Nothobranchius furzeri: one gene and its partner. The protein of the gene in region 1 purifies or fractionates together with the protein of each later gene. This does not show direct contact. Links are inferred from orthologs where the notes say so. Each region holds a gene or a part of one and is shown in the gene's direction. Other genes may lie near its edges.

Evidence for each region. The genes of interacting proteins can lie anywhere in the genome.
Region 2: the proteins of eif3i (region 1) and eif3ba purify together in Homo sapiens (affinity purification with mass spectrometry; 12 studies listed by BioGRID and IntAct, counting the BioPlex papers as one, with this or other methods). This does not show direct contact. The link is inferred for Nothobranchius furzeri from reciprocal best matches to the Homo sapiens genes EIF3I and EIF3B.

The regions. Positions count from the first base shown.
Region 1 is NC_091751.1:3,237,577-3,248,584, forward strand, and holds the start of eif3i (eukaryotic translation initiation factor 3 subunit I), read left to right. Parts: upstream 1-3,440; 5' UTR 3,441-3,577; coding exon 3,578-3,580; intron 3,581-3,888; coding exon 3,889-3,981; intron 3,982-4,073; coding exon 4,074-4,161; intron 4,162-4,238; coding exon 4,239-4,304; intron 4,305-4,423; coding exon 4,424-4,573; intron 4,574-11,008. Other genes in the region: txlna (alpha-taxilin), read left to right, coding at 1-106, 192-266, 340-432, 515-610, 1,346-1,675. UniProt on the Homo sapiens protein: Component of the eukaryotic translation initiation factor 3 (eIF-3) complex, which is required for several steps in the initiation of protein synthesis.
Region 2 is NC_091744.1:16,235,511-16,246,518, reverse strand, and holds the start of eif3ba (eukaryotic translation initiation factor 3 subunit B), read left to right. Parts: upstream 1-4,054; 5' UTR 4,055-4,183; coding exon 4,184-4,283; intron 4,284-5,355; coding exon 5,356-5,548; intron 5,549-5,639; coding exon 5,640-5,759; intron 5,760-5,846; coding exon 5,847-5,904; intron 5,905-5,976; coding exon 5,977-6,105; intron 6,106-6,181; coding exon 6,182-6,339; intron 6,340-8,213; coding exon 8,214-8,345; intron 8,346-8,432; coding exon 8,433-8,499; intron 8,500-9,748; coding exon 9,749-9,795; intron 9,796-9,887; coding exon 9,888-10,098; intron 10,099-10,173; coding exon 10,174-10,246; intron 10,247-10,343; coding exon 10,344-10,466; intron 10,467-10,545; coding exon 10,546-10,624; intron 10,625-10,674; exon of another isoform or gene 10,675-10,752; intron 10,753-10,824; coding exon 10,825-10,963; intron 10,964-11,008. Other genes in the region: brat1 (BRCA1-associated ATM activator 1), read right to left, coding at 747-930, 1,008-1,111, 1,183-1,274, 1,381-1,506, 1,586-1,985, 2,080-2,227, 2,918-3,069, 3,591-3,717.

The DNA.
Region 1 (11,008 bases):
GGTGAAGCACAAAGACCTGCAGCAACAGCTGGTGGATGCCAAACTGCATCAGGCGCAGGAGCTGCTGAAGGAGTCGGAGGAGCGCCACGACAGAGAGAAAGACTTTGTGAGTTTCTGTTTGTATGGTTCTGCGTCTGATGTCTCTGGTAGTTTCGCATAAGACTAACATCCAGTTTGTTGTAACTCTTTAGCTTCTGAAGGAAGCTGTGGAGTCTCAGAGGATGTGTGAGCTAATGAAGCAGCAGGAGGTCCACCTCAAACAGCAGGTCTCTCTTAAGCTCACTCTTCAGAGTCTCTGCAAAGCAGCTGTCGTCTCACTTCTGCTGTTTTACCTCCCAGCTGTCTCTGTACACCGAGAGGTTTGAGGAGTTCCAGACCACGCTGTCTAAGAGTAACGAGGTCTTCACCACCTTCAAACAGGAGATGGAGAAGGTGGGTGGTTGTGAGGAGAACGTGGATAATTCTGTTGGGTCTACCTGCTCAAACAGGAGCCGTGCTTGCTTTGGGTTCACAGATGACTAAAAAGATTAAGAAGCTGGAGAAGGAGACGACGATGTATCGCTCGAGGTGGGAGAGCAGCAACAAGGCGCTGCTGGAGATGGCTGAGGAGGTAAAGCAGCTCCTGGAGTTTGGATTTGGTTCTCACAGATCTAGAGTGTTCAGAGTAAGGTCGGGCCACTTTGCCGACAGGGTTGGGCGTGTGACGTCATGACACACGGACTGATTTGCGAACCCAGTAGAAGACCGAAACAGATTTTTTTTATGGACACGCGCAGCACGTGTGTTTGCTGGAAGATAATTTTATATTTTTCTTTTTGTTTAACTTTGTATTTGTAGTTTGGTAGAGACGTATAAACGGCCCGTAATAAACACGGTTAAATGTTCAACAGAAGCCTTGCCTTTGCTTCCCTGCGGTGCCCACTGTTGTGGTTTTCATTTAAGCTAAATGTTTCCGTCGGAACAAGAACTTGTGGGGTTCTTTCTTTAGTAAGTAGGGATAAGATCACACCTCAGACAGCTGCGCTTCTCTTCATGCCAATGATGTGCGTTAAACAAGGATCTGACCACGACTGTAGACTCCGTGAAGGCTTTTGCCATCTTCACCCTTTCCTTAACCATTTGGTTGACATGGCAACAATAGGTCAGGGGTCACTGCATGATCACCCACTGCTGTTCCCAGCTGTTTAGATTCAGTTCCACTTTGTTGGAAAACTTTGAGACTTTAGTAGCTGGTTATTTAAAAAGCCACAGCTGTTGACCACGCATCACGACGTTCTGACGCTAGCGCCTTCCGAACTGTTGTTTCACGTGTGATTGAGTCCCAAGCTTCTGTTTCTATTCCCAGAAATCTGTGCGAGATCGGGACTTCGACGCGTTGCAGGGTAAAGTCCAGCGGCTCGAGAAGCTGAGGCGGGCACTTAAGGTGGAGCGAAACGAGCTAAAGAAGAAGGTCCAGAACCTCGGTGGGGCCGCAGGACCCCACACCTCTGACCCAGGGACTGACTCCCCCTCCCCGCCTCCCACGGACTGTCCGCTGGAGGCCAGCACCTGTCCTGTACCAGACAGCTCCTCTGACTCCCCACCTTGCCACTGTGAGCCACAGCTGGACACAGTTGCACTCCCAGAAGAGGCAAACTCCCCACCTGTCCCTGTTCTTGTCCCTGCACAGGAATAAAGCAGGACTGCTTCGTCTCCTCCTCCCTTTCAACGTCCAACCACCAGCCTACAGGCCGCTGGAGCAGCTGATGTTCAACGCTGAGCTGGAATCAGATTTACACCAGATGAGTCCAACAGAAGGGTTAACGTGTGTCCTCCCAGCGTCATCTGCAGACGGGCTTCCTTCACCCCATCCTCTCCAGCTGAAACTAAGCTAGTTCAGATCATTTTATTACAATAACTAGAGTTGTTGCTGAAGGCTTTACTGAGCTGTGTGGGAGGACACCACCTAAGCAGGTTTACCACAGGTGTGTGTGTGTGTGTGTGTGTGTCTTAAGTGTTGTTTTCTTCCATCTCTACCATTCCTTCCTTTAAGTAAGAGCTGTGTGGGACTGTTGAGGGAAGCTTTTCAGTCCAGCCTTTTATCCTTTTTTTATTATGATTTTTTTTGGCAGAGTAAATCCTGGATTATTAAAGAACGTTTTAGAACTAAAACGTTTGAACTCTTATTCATTTGTGTAGTGTTTAAATGTGAGTCTGTATTTATTGTTGAAATCATACAGTCACTGATATCGGGGGTTAAAATAAAGGATATTTTCATTTAAGCTGATCATTTTCATTCATTTTACTCCAAATTTGTCATCCTTACCTCTCCTGGGTTATGTTGCACATTACCAGTTTAGTTATTAGTATTAGCACTTTTATCTCATTTAACTCCATCTTTGTTCCGTGTGTGTGTGGGATGTACCTGTTTATATCTGTGATGGTCCTGGGAACGGCAAAGGCTTCTGGTCAGGTTTATTCTAAAGAATGTCAAAGTTCCTCTATGCAACGCTTGCATCTTGGTTTTATTCTGTGGCCTCGACCCACGAGCACTTAGCTGAGAATGTAATCTCATCATATCCACTGTTCTGCATAAATGTGTCGGGGACGACATATCTCACAGTTTAAGGCCTTTTTCTTCCAAGGGGTTGATACTTTTACATTGGGTGCTTTTGAAATGTGCATTGATCTGAGCCAAGTGAGAAAACTGAGAGGAGAAGTCTAATTTGATTTGGTTTCCTCCAAACACACGCCTGTTTCCCCTGTGCACTACATATGTAGTTTCGACAAAGCAATGCCATCCGAAACAGAAATGCAAATGTTTTTCAGTCTACCATAGGATGTATTCACTGTACTGTTTACTTTTCATATAAACCAAAGATGTCTCCCTGTTGTAGTTTATCTTTTGCAGTATGTTATTTTCTGGCCCTGATTTTAAATAAAATTAGAGTATGTCTGATTTTCTGGCAGATTATTTTTTACAGTGAATTATTTGTGTCATAATGAGAATTTTGAGAACTATGGAGATAATTTATTGTGATTTTTGAGATTTTGTGTCACCATATTTCCAGAATGAAGGGCACAGGACTAATTTTTCTTTTTAAATACTGTATTTGATGACCTTCAAAAAGAATCCAATAAAATCACTGTCAGAAAAGTAAATTTAAGTGACAGAAACTAAACGTAATAAAAGAAACTGGTGAGGAAGGAGTGGTTTCGTGACTGACAGAAATGCAAAATGATTTACAACTTATACAGGAGGGTGGCATGTTATCATACATTATGTTGATAAATATCATGTATGTAGCAGTATTCGGGATTAAATATTCACAAATGAGCTGATAAGGAGCAGGACTGAAACGAGCACAAGTTTGGGATCAAATTACTTTATTTTCTAGATTCCAGAAAGTCCTTCATACCACATTTGTCCAGGAGGGGGCGGCAGGTCGTCCATCTGCGGTTAATACCATCGAAGAAGAAAATGGAAGCCTTCTCTTCCGCCACAGCTCCGGTGTCTGACACATGAGGGTTTAACTTTTCTCCCATTGTGAGGCGCAGCAAATTGACTAAAGCATCTGGAAACACCTAGCTGACGACAATGGTTGGTATATTTATTTACAAGGCAATGTTTACCTGGCGGTTTTCAGTTTTTGTTCTTTAGCTTGTCGCTGTAGTTTGGGGTTTTACTTTGTCTGTTGTGGCTAGCTATAGCTTTTCACGTTAGCTAATGTACATATTCATTTTGGCAGAAGTCTTGAGTTAGCTAAGCTATGAAAGAGATTTCTGTGACTCGTATAGTGTTGGTGCTTTACGCCTAGGCAAGTCAAAGCTACGTTATTCTTTCTTTTTTCAATTAAAACAGTCATGTGTAAATGCTAGCTTAATCTGAACCGTTATCGGTGTTTCTAGAAACCCATTTTGCTCCAGGGCCACGAGAGGTCCATCACACAAATCAAATACAACAGAGAAGGAGATCTGCTCTTCTCGGTGGCTAAAGATACAGTGAGTTGGTACACACTCGCTCTTCTGTCGGATCATTCAACACGACGTTTGGGAGCAGCCAAACTCATCCCTGCTGTTCTGCTGCTATCCAGGTTGCCAACGCGTGGTACTCTGTGAACGGAGAGAGGCTCGGGACCTACAATGGACACACCGGAGCTGTGTGGTGTGTTGACTGTGACTGTATCCTTTGCACCTCTGCCTAATGTAAGCTAGGGGTGTCTGTCAGTGAAGTTAGGCATCTTAACTAGTTGTCTCAGGGGACACAAAGAACGTGTTAACAGGATCAGCAGACAACAGCTGCAGGCTGTGGGACTGTGAGACTGGTAAGTAAACCTTAACAATGTGCTTTTCCAAAGAGGTGGACATGATTTTTAGGGTATTGGGATAGTTTGTAAACCTGACATCATGCTGTCTAAATGACATCTTTAATGTGTTTTCACAGGTAAACAGCTGGCTCTGCTCAACACCAACTCTGCCGTCAGGACGTGTGGGTTCGACTTCAGCGGCAACATCATCATGTTCTCCACCGACAAGCAGATGGGTTACCAGTGCTTCCTGAACTTCTTTGACCTGAGGGATCCACAGCAAATAGGTAAACATTAAATGCGCAAACACACACACGCACACATGTTCTGCAATGGTGTGGCCACAGTATATGGACTGGATATATACCATTTTAAACAAACTTTCTTACACTTTTTGCAATTTTTAATGTCAGTCAGACACCTAAATAAAGTTAATTTAGACCAATCCTGGTCCTGGAGGGCCGGTATCCTGCATGTTTTAGTTTGAACTCTGTTTCAATACTCCTGATTTCAATCAGCAGCTAATTAGCGGTCTTTTGCAGCGCCTGATGAGCTGCTGCACAGGTGTTTCAACCACTGAATCAAGTCTGTAGGAGCAGAAAAACCACAAAACCTGTTGGATACCGGTGTCGGCACAGGATCTGCTCGGGTGCAAAATTGGCTCAGGGTCCGTCGACTGCCGATGACGTCTAAGTAGTTGATTGGCTGCACATGAACCTTACGGAATTACGTAATCACGTTACGTTGTTATCACGTTACGTTGGTCCAGGCAAATCTTTCTGTTGGAAAGATGGACAACTTTTACAAAGAAATCCATCATTACCTCTTTGAAAATACACTTTGAGCATAGAGCTGCATGTATATTAGGGCTGAACGATTAACTGCATGTGTAATTAAATTGCGATGTGACAAAAGGAGATTTTCTAATCGCAAAGGCTGCAATTTGGCAGCGAGTGGTTAGCGCAATGCTAATATACATGGAAAAACCCATAGGAATGCTAATGCTAATATCGCCGATTACATGATCAAATTATGAATTAGAAACGTGCCAAATGATTACATTTGGAGTCTAATAGAAAGTAAAAATACCATCAATCAAATAAGTACAGACAGGTATTTTAGTAAAGCCAGAAAACTTTTAACTCCAGAGTTTTGGCTAGCAGCTATGAGCGTAATGAACTACGCATGGACAAGACGTCAAAAACTCTAAACACAAAATACTTCAATAAATGGGACACACTTCTTTCCTGCAAATACAATTTCACAGGTGTTGCTAATACCTATGATTCTTCAAGGGATGTGCTCAAAGAGGAGTTCAACATCATGACTACAATATAGTGTTTTATTTTACAAATACCATTATAAACACAAACTTACGTCTTAAGAAACATTATTTTAATAAGGAAACTGCTAAATTCTTTCCAACAGTATAGATGTGTACTGTATTTTGTCCGAGTGGGTTTGCCGTACTTTGACGTCATCGGCAGTCGAAGGACCCCGAGCCGATCTTGTACCGACACCGGCCCTCCAGGACCAGGATTGGGCACCCCTGATTTAGAGTATTTATTATGCAGATGTTATTAGTGAATGTTGGGGAAAAAATTTGAATTAAATTCTGCAACAGCACCAGGGTGACTATAGATGTGCCTGACTTTAAATCAGCTTTACTAAGAAAAAACAGCCGATGAATAAAAAACTAAACATTGGCCAACCAATATAATCGGTCCACCCCTAATTCACTCATTCCTTTATTCCATGTAGCAGCTCAGTGGTCACTGTTTTTCAAAATTGCATTGATTCATGTACCAGACTATTAGACGAAGAAATAAGTTAAGATCGTCTAGCCTAGTGAACTAGACCAAATTCTTGCCTTGTAATGTTTGGTGTGGGAACGCTCCACCGGAACTTCTGAGGCCTCCTAGCAGCATTCTGGCAGATGTGTTTTAGTCTTTTATTTAGAAAAAGGATGTATTTTTGCCGCCTTCAACGGCAGACATCCTTGTTTACAGAGGTTGCGGTGAGTACTCCACGTTGTTCGTTGTCCAGTAGGGTGCAATGATTGTTTGAAAGACAACGGTAGAACCCGCCCCACGACAGGCAATGGAACATTAAATAATATTATGGATTTAGTCTGGCGTGCCAGGCTAAAGAACATCCAAAATATCTCAATTTAGAGACTATTTTAAGCTAAAGAAGGTCATAAAAGTGCCAACTATGCTTCTGTTGAAACACACGTAGATTTCCTCAATAACACGTGTGCAGCAACTTTTCCCACACTGAAACATTTCAAAATGAATTGACATGTTTTGTGCACGTGTCCTGAATCAAGTTGAAGATGGTGTGATGTAGGGTCGTCACGGTGTGAAAATGTAGCCTCGCGGTTATCGTAACCAAAATGAAAACGGTATTATCGCGGTATTTTTTTAAACGTGTTACATTTTCAGACAACTAAATAAACCCTGTATGTCAGGAAAATATTGTCCTCAGTTTGTGTCTAAATTTTGCCTAAAACGTGTTATTTTGTAATTATGTTGTTTATTTGTTTACATTTTTCCCCTTTAGTCTTTAAAATACCAATATTTGCCCATAACTTCAAAATTTTTTGTCTGTTTGATGTCATCATTTTAAAAATATTAGACCAGATGATACTCAGTACTCAAGTAGCCTTCTAATCAGATACCGTATTTTCACGACCATAGGGCGCACCGGGTTATAGGGCGCGGGCATGGGCACGTTCAAACGTACCGGTGTCGGTACAGGATCTGCTCGGGTGCAAGATCGGCTCGGGGTCCTTTGACTGCCGATGACGTCAAAGTACGGCAAACCGACTCGGACAAAATACACTACACATCTATACTGTTGGAAAGAATTTAGCAGTTTCGTTATTAAAATAATGTTTCTTAAGACGTAAGTTTGTGTTTATAATGGTATTTGTAAAATAAAACACTATATTGTATTCATAATGTTGAACTCCTCTTTGAGCACATCCCTTGAAGAATCATAGGTATTAGCAACACCTGTGAAATTGTATTTGCAGGAAAGAAGTGTGTCCCGTTTATTGAAGTATTTTGTGTTTAGAGTTTTTGACGTCTTGTCCATGCGTAGTTCAGTTACGCTCATAGCTGCTAGCCAAAACTCTGGAGTTAAAAGTTTTCTGGCTTTACTAAAATACCTGTCTGTACTTATTTGATTGATGGTATTTTTTACTTTCTACTAGACTCTAAATGTAATCATTTGGCACGTTTCTAATTCATAATTTGTAATAATGTAATCGGCGATATTAGCATTAGCATTCCTATGGGTTTTTCCATGTATATTAGCATTGCGCTAACCACTCGCTGCCAAATTGCAGCCTTTGAGATTAGAAAATCTCCTTTTGTCACATCGCAATTTAATTGCACATGCAGTTAATCGTTCAGCCCTAATATACATGCAGCTCTATGCTAAAAGTGTATTTTCAAAGAGGTAATGATGGATTTCTTTGTAAAAGTTGTCCATCTTTCCAATAGAAAGATTTGCCTGGACCAACGTAACGTGATAACAACGTAACGTGATTACGTAATTCCGTGAGGTTCATGTTCAGCCAATCAACTACTTAGACATCATCGGCAGTCGACGGACCCCGAGCCGATCTTGCACCCGAGCAGATCCTGTACCGACACTGGTAAAACATTGTGCGGGCTCGGAGCATATCAGTGCAAACCAGACATTGTGAAAATTATAAACAGCCAAATAATGCTTCACTTTACTGGTCTAGTCCTGGTTTAGAGCGCACGTGCACTTCCTCATTGCGTGTGCTGACGGCTCGTGCTCTTCTAATGGGCTCGACACACGGGAGGCAACTTTGCCTCTCCATTCATTTTCAATGAGACACGCGCGACAAAGCGATAATCGCGTGTCTCCCTCCTGTTACAGCCGGGCGTACACCGGGTGTTCTAAGTACAACCAATGTAATAAAAATGACTCAACGTTCTTCAGCTCAAGAGGTGTCGTGTTTATTTCTCAGCCCGCCGAACTCCTTCTAAACTCCTCCCACTTCAGGCAAGTCTTAAAGGCATACACACTGTATCTATTCACATGACATCTCCCCTCCTTTGAGTCAGAGACGGTGTAAACAGAGTATGTGAAAGAACAAAGTACATCTTTTCCTCAAAGCATTGGAACCCTCTGCAACAGCAACCGACAGTAGGAACATAACATAGATGCTTTTAACCAAAGAGTCAATCACAATAATTACAAACGATCACCCAACACTTTTTTTTTTTTCTTTCTTTTACATGAGAGAAAAAAAAATGGAGGCAACAGGCAACCATACATGCGTCGTTGGGGTGATGGGGTGGACTACCCAAACACCCTTATAGCGGCCGGAGGTTATTCTGCTCCATTTAGGCCGGCTATACGGTTCAATAACAAACAAAGTCCTTGAGCCTCCTGGGGGGCCAAATGACTCTGCCTGTAGAAGACATCCGAGCTGATCCTGGAGGACAATCAGAAAGGCCTGCTGGGACGGTCCCTTGGGCAGGCGAAACAGACTCTTCAGTAGGTGAGGCAGCCCCTCTAACCGGGGAGCCTAAAGGTGTGGGTTGGGGTGTTGATGATGGTGGTGGTGGCTGATCTGCCACACCAGGAAGGAATATTGGTCGTAGATGGCGCCGGTTCCTCCGCAGTGTCCCATGTTCTGTCTGGATCAGGTAGGACCTCGGAGCTGGATGTGGTTGTTGGACCGTTGCCACAGATGTCCAGCCAGAATCACCATCAAGTTTCACCGCCACATCCTGCCCAGGTGTAAGGGGTGGGAGTGCTCTGGCACCATGGCGTCGGTTGTAGGCACGTTCGTAGCTCCTTTTCGCCTTGGCATCGGCTGCACGCACCTTTGCGAAGTTGGGCCACTTAGGCAGCAGAACCTTACCGATTGTAGGTACAGTCGTCTTGATCTGACGACCCATCATCAGCTGGGCAGGACTGGCCCCTGTGGCTTGTACTGGCGTGGCTCTGTAGGCCATGAGAGCCAAAAACGGGTCGTCCTGCCGGAGAATCCTCTTTGCTGTCTGAACAGCCCTCTCGGCCCCACCATTGGCCTGAGGATAGTGGGGGCTGGAGGTGATGTGCCTGAAATCATAGGCTACAGAAAAACCTTCAAACTCTTTGCTCGTAAACTGTGTAGCATTGTCAGTGGTGAGTTCATCTGGACAACCCCACCTAGCAAACATGTTTTTCAGGCGGGAACATACAGGTGCTGGCCAGTAAATTAGAATATCATCAAAAGGTTGAAAATATTTCAGTAATTCCATTCAAAACGTGAAACTTGTACATTATATTCATGCAATGCACACAGACCAATGTATTTCCAATGTTCATTACATTTAAATTTGATATTCATAAGTGACAACTAATGAAAACTCCAAATTTGTTATCTCAAAAAATTAGAATATTCTGAAAAGGCTGAATATAGAAGACACCTGCTGCCACTCTAATCAGCTGATTTACTCAAAACACCTGCAAAGGCCTTTAAAAGGTCCCTCAGTCTTGTTTTGAAGGCACCACAATCATGGGGAAGACTTCTGACTTAACAGCTGTCCAAAAGACAATCATTGACACCTTGCACAAGGAGGGCAAGACACAAAAGGTGATTGCTAAAGAAGCTGGCTGTTCGCAGAGCTCTGTGTCCAAGCACATTAACAGACAGGCGAAGGGACGGAAAAAATGTGGTAGAAAAAAGTGTACAAGCTCTAGGGATAACCGCACCCTGCAGAGAATTGTGACGACAAACCCATTCAAAAATGTGGGGGAGATCCACAAAGAGTGGACTGCAGCTGGAGTCAGCGCTTCAAGAACCACCACGAGGAGACTCATGAAAGACATGGGATTCAGGTGTCGCATTCCGTGTGTCAAGCCACTCTTGAACAAGAAACAGCGCAAGAAGCGTCTCGCCTGGGCCAAGGACAAAAAGGACTGGACTGATGCTGAGTGGTCCAAAGTTATGTTTTCTGATGAAAGCAAGTTCTGCATTTCCTTTGGAAATCAAGGACCCAGAGTCTGGAGGAAGAGCGGAGAAGCACAGAATCCACGTTGCATGAGGTCCAGTGTAAAGTTTCCACCGTCAGTGATGGTGTGGGGTGCCATGTCATCTGCCGGTGTTGGCCCACTCTGTTTCCTGAGGTCCAGGGTCAATGCAGCCGTCTACCAGGAAGTTTTAGAGCACTTCATGCTTCCTGCTGCTGACCAACTTTATGGGGATGCAGACTTCACCTTTCAACAGGACTTGGCACCTGCACACAGTGCCAAAACCACCAGCACCTGGTTCAAGGACCATGGTATCCCTGTCCTTGATTGGCCAGCAAACTCGCCTGACCTTAACCCCATAGAAAATCTATGGGGTATTGTGAAGCGGAGGATGCAATACGCTAGACCCAACAATGCAGAGGAGCTGAAGACGACTATCAGAGCAACCTGGGCTCTCATAACACCTGAGCAGTGCCACAGACTGATCGAGTCCATGCCACGCCGCATTACTGCAGTTATTGAGGCAAAAGGAGCCCCGACTAAGTATTGAGTGCTATACATGCACATTCTTTTCATGTTCATTCTTTTCAGTTGGCCAACATTAGAGAAACAAACATTTTTTCATTGGCCTTTAGAATATTCTAATTTTCTGAGATACCAGATTTGATGTTTTCATTGGTTGTCACCTATAAATATCAAAATTAAACGTAATAAACATC
Region 2 (11,008 bases), on another chromosome or scaffold:
CATCCATGACTTAACTTAACTGCATGTTGAAATAAAATGAACACAAAGGAATTCCAGGCGTTATTTCAGACTTGGGACTACTTAATGATAGAGTTCATTTATAAGCTTTCGCCAATAGGCGCAAGGACATGGGTTGGCGTGACACTGCTAAATGCTGGTACATTTTCTCGAATTACAAACATAATGTGTTATGGAAGTAGGTGTCTTTAGAGCCACTGCGTGATGTTCTTATAAATTTTCACTTTTGAGTGGAATATCCCTTTAAAGAGGGACAATATGGGTTTACGTCCTTGTCTTGATAATGCAGCCAACTTTGCAGCAAACTGTTGATGATGAAAGGCTACAAACTAGCTTGTTTAGGCTAGCTTCACAGGAGTTTCAACATGCCTACAAAGTTTCTCTGCTGTTCGTGAGAGACGTGATGTCACGTGCAAAGGGTCAATAGCAGCCAAAGTGGGGGGGGGGGGGGCGTGGCCAGCTCCAGCTTGTTTTCTTAAAGTGACAGAGCCCTGAAACTGCTCATTCTGGAAGGTACTGAAACTGTCAAGAACTGCTGAAACTGCTTTATGTGAGTGATTTTATACTTCTTCAACATGATTTGTATTGACCAAAGTATTAATACAACTTAAGAAAAAAGTCAAAATATGTCCCCTTTAAAATTTGTAACCAGCTTGAAGCAGAAACAGTTTAAAGTTACAGAAGATTTGTTTGGACCTGAACATTTGGACATTGTCCCGTTGTCGTACCTGAGCTGTTGCTGAGGACCGACAGAACATCAAGAGCACATTTCTGAACTTTTCCGCTGCCTATAAGGTTCCTGCCAGCTTCAGCACAGCCACTGGACGAGGAGCCGTCTCCATTGCAGAGCCTCAATAATGACAAAACTGCAGATACAATTAAAACTGGTGGACAGGGGAGGCAGTCGGGATCCTGAGGAGGAGAGACAGAAAAACCTAAGAGACTTTTCTAAGAATTAGATGGCCTCACTATCTGGTCCTTCAACTCACCATGAGTGTGATCTGTGGAGTGTTTGCTAGACTGGCACAAATCATGGAGATGCAGGAAGATTTACTCTTGAGATACTCCATCATTGGAAGGCGAAGCTTGTCTGCTGCAGTAACAATTGGGAAGAATTCATGAAGTATATTTCGGTCTTAAAATGCACACACCTGTAAGGGTTACCTGTGCTGTTTTGTCCCAACAGACTGAGTCCAGTAATGATGTCAAGAGGAAGCAGCAGAACTCTAGCAGCTTGAGCTTTATGGACACAGTCACTGGGGGAGAACGATACATGTCACTATCACCTTTAAACACTAATGGTTTCTACTGGTGAACCAACAGCTCAGTGCAGAAGGTCAAGCTGTGCTGTGTGAAGCTTACTCATGCCCGCTGCGGAGAAAAGCAGCTGCAGTGTAAGAGAGGTCCGCAGGTTTCCCCGTGTTCAACATGATGGACAAAAGGCGATCAACACGCTGGTTCAAGGCATGATGCTCACTTTTACTGCTGCTGAGACAAGCAGAAGGAGGTGAAAACGCTGAAGCATTGTGCATGAAGTCACACATTAAGCATGCAGAGAGAGGCACACCTGTGTGCAGCCTGAACAACATCCATCAGAGACCGAGTGAGCTGGCTGCAGTTGGTCGTCACCAGTTCCTCCAGAGAGTCTGAGACCGTCAGCAGCAGTCGGTCCCTCAGATCTGGCCCGGCCCGGCTCAGGAGCAGGGCGAGCACTTTGAGAGCCTGATGACTCTGAAACAGTGCTGAAGTTCCGTCGAGAACTAGTGACTTCTTGAGATACTCGCAAAGCTTCACGGTAACAGTGCTGTAATTCTGTTTGGTTTCCACGGGAACAGTCAGGTGTTTTGAGTTGTTTTGGGAGTTTTCAGACTGACAGAAGAGCAAGATGTGAGCGAGCATGTGATTAGCAGCCGAAGCAACAAATAGGCTTGTGTCTGTGTGAAGGTGTAGGAGTGGTTCAATCAAATCTGAAGAAGGAAAACATGGAGATGTAAATTACTTAATAAAAAGAGAAAAATCTCTATCTGAAATTTAAACATCTGCTCAGAGAGTGATCAGTACCTGCTTGCACAAAGAAGCCAAGAGCTTTTGAATGCTGCAGCATCGTCCTTAAGCCTTGGATCCAACCTATCCGTATACAAGGATCCTTCCAGAGCCCAGCCTCCTGCCAGCGTTGAGGGTCAAACACCAGGTCACACAAAGAGTGCTCCTAAAACAGAGAGGCTCCATCACAGGCAGCTTAACACCGTTTAGTAACTTTTAGTTTGAGAATAACTTTTTGCTTTCCTTGACATTGAATGTGCTACTACTAGTTTATCCGTTTAATTATAGATCCACTAGGACAAATACAATAAAGTTTATCTTTCACCAAATAGAATATTTACTAAGACATCACAATATAACTATAGACACACTACTTGGTGTGTGTGTGTGTGTGTGTGTGTGTGTGTGTGTGTGTGTGTGTGTGTGTGTGTGTGTGTGTGTGTGTGTGTGTGTGTGTGTGTGTGTGTGTGTGTGTGTGTGTGTGTGTGTGTGTGTGTGTGTGTGTGTGTGTGCCTGCTCTGTCTTCTCGATCCCCAGTGAGTCGTGGAGGATGGCTGCTTATACTGAGCCAGGATTCTCTGGAGGTTTCTTCCTGTTAAAAGGGAGTTTTCCTCTCCACTGTCGCTTTATGCTTGCTTAGTATGAGGATTGCTGTAAAGTCACTAACACTAGTCAGTGACTTGATGCAATTTGCTGGGTTCCTTATGTATGAAAAATTATTTCTGATTGGCTTAATGAACTGACCTGACCAGGTTTATTATGTGAAGTGCCTTGAGACGACTCTTGTCGTCATTTGGCGCTATATAAATAAACTTGAATTGAATTGAATAGTGATTACAGGAGTTACGAGACTTACCTGAAGAACTTTAAAGCCATTCTCAGTAGCTGAGATTAGGCCGGTGAGTTTCAGCGTGAAGGAGAGGATGCTGGCATCTGAGGCAGGGCTGTTGTTAACTACGGTCGGTATGAAATCAAGCAGACAGGGGAAGGCCTCCAGCAGAGAGACTCCTTCATCAGGTGACATTACAAAACAAAAAGGTGTCACTTAGACACTTAGCTGTGGAAAACTAGATCTGAAAACAACACATTCAGTTAGGTTTCAAGAGAATCTGTTTGGTAATACCTATTCTCCAGTTCCGTATCTACAGACTTTCACCAAATGCAATTTCAACTGACTTAGACATGTGTCCTTTGTACAAGGGAGAATGTTACTTTAGGTATTTTTAATGTCATTTATGACATTAATTATTGACATATAACATTAATTAGGACTATCTGAATATAATTTTAATAGAGAAACTCGCTATAATCTAATAGAAAAACAAATAGGAGTGCTTGCCAGTTATCTTCCAGCCTTATTTGCATCCATTAGGCTGTTTTAAATTAAACATCTCCATTTTACTTTATTTAAAATTAGTTCACAATAAATAAATAAATAAATAGCCAACCAATGAATAATCAGCAGTAGGAGAAAGTAATTTATACATTGAGTGACTACTGGAGCACAAGCCCTCCAGGTTGTTACTGACCATCCTTGGTGAGCGCTGTGAACCAGTCCAGGAGTTTCTCCAGACTGGTATCATCGGGCAGAGAGCTTCCTGAGGCTGCTAGCACCTCACACACCCGCGGCAGGACTGTCACACACTCTCGGTCCATGCTACTGACTAAACGTGTGTTAATAAACGTTACACTGACCTTCTGCTCAACGCTGCATTACTGTAAACGAGCACTGCTTAATGACACATTAAAATGTTTTTATTTTTCGCTCAAAATGAAAGTTAGATCGTTGAGCACATCTCGCGGGAAAAATTCATCACCGCCAGCGCGTCGCTCCACTGTTTTAGCGTGAAGTGAGTCGAACAAATATGGCTGCCTAATTCACTGATCTCTAAACAACTCGGTGAGCTACATCAATGTAAACCGCCGCGCGCTTCCGGTCCTTGTGCCTTACAACTCATTTCTCCGCGGCACGTCTACGCGCTCGCGAGCAGCTTCCGGTGCTGCGTTTCCGTCTCTTCGTCCATTTTCGCACATGCTGCCGCACCGGTCGCTCCTCGTTAGCCTCTCATTTTTTGGGATTTTCATCCCTCGTCGAGAGAATTACGACTTATTCTAACGCTAGATGCAAGACACGGCGGCCATGGTGGACGACCCTGAGTATGAAGAGGAGGAGCCCTCCTTCAGCGATCCGGAGGACTTCGACGATGACATCGAGGACGAGGGTTAGCGGTAGCAGGAAAAACGCCGGCTATCCGGCCTAGTGCTAACTAACCATTAGCTAAGAGACCGATAGCGGTTATGCTCCAAATGGTAGAAATATTACGCGGTGGTCCACCAGAACTTGATAAAAATGTTTAGTAGTCCATAATAGCTTCGTTAACCGAAATAGTGGTGCAACATTTTTTTGTCTCAGCCCCCCACCCTGATGCTATCTGCTACACGTTACGCCCGTTAGCCTCACCTAGACCCCAGACAGCTTACTCAGCGTGGCCTATTTGAAAACGTGCAGGGACGGACCTGAATGCATGAGAACAATCCTCCTGTAGCTGAATGGAGAGTGTGTGCGATTGCAAATGAGCAGCTTGACTTTACCTACACAGTCAAACGCAAAATTAAAGGTTTCTGCTCAGATAGGTGTGCCTAAAATTCATTAAGCGAATTTTGGTAGCAGTACAAAACCGCCCCCCGCCACAGTAGCTTTTATTTGGGTTTTAGACTTAAGATCGGCTTTATAATTAGTAAAAGATTTACTAGCAGTGATCGTTAATTTACTCCATTAAACACAAGTTTCACTTGTTTAATCAAAACTTTGACGCTATTTATTTAATTGTAATTAACTTGAGTTTGTAAAAGCAATGTGTCGTCAAAATATAAGAAGTTTCAGATGATGAGATGTTTAAATTCCAAAGTAAAATAAAATCTTGTGAAAGTTTCCCAAGAGCGATCTAGTTGCACCTAGTTTATAAGCCAGGTATTTGCTAATTACACAAAACGTGTAACTTAGTCTGGGCTTTTGCAGAAACACAACATGGGGGTATTGTAAAGTAAAAACATGTAAAAAAAAATAATAATAATAACAATGGAAAGGCAATTATTCGTTTTCTCAAGAATAATTAATTTTAAATGAATAAATTAAGCTTAATTGTTTTGAGGTAGTATTGACTGTATAAATTATATATATATATTTAATTTATCACATAAGTTAATCAAATACTCATCGATTCTTTGACAGTTTGCATCTGTAAAAATGCCAGTTTCATAGAACATACTTAACTAATCTTTCTTTGTCCGCAGAGCTCCTGGATGACATCCTGCGGGAAAAGCCCCAGGAAGCGGATGGGATAGACTCTGTGGTTGTGGTGGACAATGTTCCTCAGGTGGGCCCAGAACGTTTGGAAAAACTCAAAAACGTCATACATAAGATCTTCTCCAAGTTCGGCAAAATCACCACAGAGTTTTACCCAGAGGCTGATGGCATGACCAAGGGGTACGACCTAGCTGTCTCTTTCTTGCGTTGTTTATCCACGGCTCCACACTTAAATCCAAATACGTGTAACCTAACTTGTGTTTCTGCGCAGGTACATATTTTTGGAGTATGCCGCTCCCACTCAGGCCCTCGAGGCTGTGAAGAATGCAGATGGATACAAACTCGACAAACAGCACACGTTCAGGGTCAACCTCTTCACTGACTTTGATAAGTATGTTTGCAGAATAGGCCAATAGATTTGTTAAACTAACACAAGCCTGACTGAAGTTGTTCATTTCATCTTTTTTGAAACATTTAGGTACATGAACATTTGTGACGAGTGGGAAGCTCCAGAGAAACAGCCTTTCAAAGATTTTGTGAGTTCCACTCTTTATTTTCTTGTGAGGTCCTTATGCTCCATCCTCAGTTTGCTCTTGTTCTCTGTTCAGGGGAATATGCGTCACTGGATCGAGGATCCTGACTGTCGTGATCAGTATAGTGTGATCTACGAAGCTGGAGAGAGGACGGCCATTTTCTCAAATGACGCTAAAGAGCCAATAATAAATGAGGAGAGAGCGGTAAGGTGGTAATTATTAACAGCAATCAGGTTAATGTGATGTGAGGAAAACCTAACGATTTTGTGTTTGGATACAGCGCTGGACAGAGACGTACGTCCGCTGGTCTCCTAAAGGCACTTACTTGGCTACTTTCCATCAGCGGGGTATTGCATTGTGGGGCGGCGAAAAGTTCAAACAGATCCAGAGGTTCAGCCATCAGGGTGTGTCGCTCATCGACTTCTCACCGTGTGAGAGGTAATCCGCACAAAGCCTGCCAAGTCTGATCTCAGTTGATCATATTTGTAATGAGAATTTTTTTTTTCCACCAAACTTTTTTTTTCCTTTCTGTGGGACACTTTGCAGCTTCTTCATATTTTTAAATAATTTTCCTGAGCCAGTGTGTGCTGAAATAACCCTTTACAGGTTTAATGAAAGGCCACCCAGACCCTATCGCCAGAACATTCCTTCTGTTGGGACTTAAAAAAGTTGAGCTGACATAACTGGCGCTGCAGTCTGGTTCCGGACCTTTTCCCTTATGTTTTAGATCGTGAACACTAGGGCTGGGCGATACATCAATATTTTTTAAATATCTGTATAATTATTAAACAAGATATAAGATGACTTAATATTTTTGTATCGATTTAACTGGTCAAACGGCTATGCTAGCGATTAGCCGCTATGCTAGGGACATGTCGCTCTGTCTCTAAGCAGCTATTCTCACAAGATTGCTCAATCTGAGAGCCTCTGGGTAAATGTGCTGTTCTAAACTTTGCATTTGGCGTCCTGGTTTTTAATTATTTGGGGACGTTCAACGCCAACGGAGTTCTGTTTATCCATCCTGCTCGTGCGGAGACGAGCCAAACACCTCCCTCCCCTGTGTAATCGGGAAACATCTACATGTAGCCAGAGTGGCCAAATCACCTCAAACATATTGTAAGGGTAGAATAGTAAACTATAGGGTTAATGTTTTATTTTGAAGGCGAGCTCAGCGGGTGAGAAATTTTGTTCTGATTTTTTTCCGCTCTGGTTAGCTATGCTAGTAAATACTCCATTACGAGCGATTCAGTTGAAAAAGTTCAGAGTTTGTAAGGTGTGGGTTACAGCGACAATAGCATGCAAATCCTCCCCATAAAAGAGCAACCAGAGACTGAGTCACTACAGTATAATCGCTGATATGAGTCAATACTGTTAGATTGCAGCCATGTTTGCCCTCATAACTAATAACTCCACTGTGCGTGACCCAGTAGATGCAATTACATCATCATACATCTAGTTTAACATGATAGATTTTTTTTCTCTGGGCAATAAATATACGATATGGGCCACCTCTAGATGACTAATTGTACATTAATTATAAATATATATAAATAAAAAGTGCCTGTGGGACATTTGATACACCTCCAGCTCTCAAGTGTGTGTGTGTGTGTGTGTGTGTTTGTTAACTGACAGCTGTACCAGTGTTTCTAAAGCACAGACTGGTAGAGAGTAGGCACTAAGGTTAGAGTTTGACAAGAATCAGTACATTTTTATGCATTTAATCTACTGATTTATGTTTATAATTTGTCAAGACAGCTTGAAGTGAGTTAACTTGTAAATATTTTACAGGAGGAAAAATATCGAGATATATATCGTATATCGGAATTCAGCTAAAAAATATCGAGATATAAGTTTTTGTCCATATCGCCCAGCCCTAATGATCACAGATTATTTGTTTAATTTAGTGATGGATCACTCCTATAAACTCTAATGAAAGCTGGGGAGACATTTCAGCTGTTGGATTAAGGTGTTAAAAGAACGAACGCACAGCGAGACGATAAGTTTTGCTTTCGGTTCTACAAACACTAGGGGGTGCTAAAAGCGAGCCAAAACTGCCTAGTTTCTTGTAGAAGTGATCTTTATTTTTATGTTATTGCAGTTAATGTTTCTTCCGGCGGGGAATCACATCAGCATACACTTTTAATAGAAAATATGATCAATAAAATATGAAAAAGTGATTTAGCAGATCCTGTTTGTTAGTTATAGTGACTTGGAAATAAAACATTAAAGATAAACACAAACCATGCTTTGTAGGTAGCATTAGCCAAACTGATTTTACTGAGTTTTATAAAACGTGCTGTTGGTTCCTGCAGGTATGTTGTCACCTTCAGTCCACTGATGGACACCAAAGAGGACCCACAGGCTATCATCATCTGGGACATTCTGACTGGACAGAAGAAGAGAGGCTTCCACTGCGAGAGCTCGGCACACTGGCCCATATTTAAGTCAGAACACTACTTTTGTTCTTTCTCTTTAATTTTAAATGCAGATTTATGTTTGGGTGTGTTTTAACTGGACAGGATTTCTCTCAGGTGGAGCCATGATGGGAAGTTCTTTGCTAGGATGAGCACAGACACGTTAAGCATCTACGAAACTCCAGTAAGTAAATTAAGAAGCACCATTTTTTTAATGAAATATGATATATATAGTTATAATAGTTATGATTTTAAATAGGGTTGGGTATCGAGCATCGATTGGAACCGGTTTCAACTGTTAGTTTTTCCCGGAATCGTTCAAAGTTTTTTATTTCGATTCCTAGTTTTGATTCCTAGAATGCCGACCGGAAGAGGAATCCGCGGCTGATCTCCGTGAAAAATAAACGTGATCTGCAATCTGTGATCAACGCTTTTCAGAGCTGATCACACCAGCTGTCTGTGTGCAGCACCGAGTCTCCTCCCCTCACCCACCCTGCACGCAGCGGCCAAATATAAACAAACGCCTCTGCCGAACTTTTACTCCGTAACGTAAACTTTACCTCCTGCAGCGTAGAGGAAACGTGTTAAAATACGTCAACACGGTGGATTTAATAGAAGCTTTAAAGAACAAACTCTGGATGGTGTGAGGTGAGTTTGTCTCACTGCAGAAATAAAAACACACACGGAGCGTCAGCAGTCAGACGCAGCCACTCACCAACACTCGTGTGTGTGTATGCGCGTGTTTGTGTGTGTGTGTGTGTGTGTCAGAAGGCTGAACAATAACCTGTAGAATAATTAAAGTCATGCTAGAGCAGCTTCTCTGTGGTGGACCACACCAGCCACAATAAATAACTATAATAAATCACACACAATGTTGTGAACATTTTAATTTCCTTTCTGAACTATTTCTGTTGAGTTTTATGTTTAAAATCTGTTAGGTTGTTACTGACAGCAGCTACATTTAAGTTCCACTTCCTGTTCTGACTGAATGCTGCAGCAGCATGGAGGTGTAGCTCTCAGTCATCCTGGACATGATCATCCTGAGATTTTTAGCTGAAAACAGCTGGACGTTTCTGGATATGTTGGAGACATTCAGCCTCTCATCCCAGAGGCTTCCTCCAGACTTTGGTTGTGGTCAGAAACAAACACACTGGTTGTGCTGCAAGTGTTTTTCTTTTTTCTCCAAAACATGTTTTTGTCTAAATGAAGGTGTTGTTGTTCATAGAGTTAAAATTCATGTTGAAGTTAAGATTATTTCATCGAGTAGGACCTGTGGTTAGCTGGCTCATGGAAAACATGGACTGTCTGGAAAGAATCCGAATCAGGAATCAATAGGAACCGAAATTGAATCGAGGAATTGGAATTGGAATCAGAATCGTTCAAAATCAAATGATGCCCAACCCTAATTTTAAAGGTGTGTTTTTTCCCTTCAGTCAATGGGCCTGTTGGACAAGAAGAGTCTCAAAATTAATGGCATCAAGTAAGAGTTTTTAATCTCGTTATGAATTGTTGCTTATTACACTTTTATTGTTATATTGATGTGAATCTCGAGTTTGTTTGGTCTTTCCACAGGGACTTCTCATGGTCTCCTGGTGACAACATCATAGCGTTCTGGGTACCAGAGGACAAAGACATCCCAGCTAGAGTCACCCTGATGCAGATGCCGTCTCGTCAAGAGATCAGAGTTCGTAATCTCTTCAATGTAGTTGACTGCAAACTGCACTGGCAGCGAAATGGAGATTATCTGTGTGTGAAAGTGGACAGGACTCCCAAAGGAACTCAGGTATGCAGCCAGAGATAGACTGTCTTTATATCTTATTGGATTTACGATAAAAGGCCCATCTCTGTTCGGTTCCAGGGTGTTGTCACCAACTTTGAAATCTTCCGAATGAGAGAGAAGCAGGTTCCTGTAGATGTCGTGGAGATGAAGGGTGAGAGCAAAAAAAAGAAGCATTTTTGCATCTATTTTTGACCGTTTTATTTTATAGAAGTAATCTAATGCGATCCGTTCGTGTCCTGTCTTCTTAGAAAGCATCATCGCATTTGCCTGGGAGCCCAACGGCAGCAAGTTTGCTGTTCTCCACGGAGAGTCTCCCAGAATCAACGCTTCCTTCTATCACGTCAAAAACAACGGGAAGATCGAGCTCATAAGTCAGTTGGTTGGGCAGATGAGCGAAAGTCGTTTTTTTAGTGTCTTTACTCCCTCTTGTAATTTTTATTATTTTTACAGAAATGTTTGACAAACAGCAGGCAAACAGCATTTTCTGGAGCCCCCAGGGACAGTTTATGGTGCTGGCTGGACTCAGAAGGTAGGGTGTGTGTGTGTGTGTGTGTGTGTGTGTGTGTGTTTTCTCTCAAAAGCCGCTGATGATAAACTTTATTTTCTGACACCTCATATGAGAGCTTTGCTCCTGATTCTAATGCTGTTCTGAGGCTTGTATCTTTTCTTTCACCTTTCACCTCTTGCACCTGCCCCAGTACCAAGTCTTTGTTTTGCCTCTGTGTTCAGTATGAACGGCGCTCTAGCCTTCGTGGATACCTCTGACTGCACCTTGATGAACATAGCAGAGCACTACATGGCCTCTGACGTAGAATGGGACCCGACCGGCCGATACGTCGTTACCTCCGTCTCCTGGTGGAGCCACAAGGTGTGTCCTGCTTCCACAAACTCACTCGCTCTTCTCTTCTGTTTA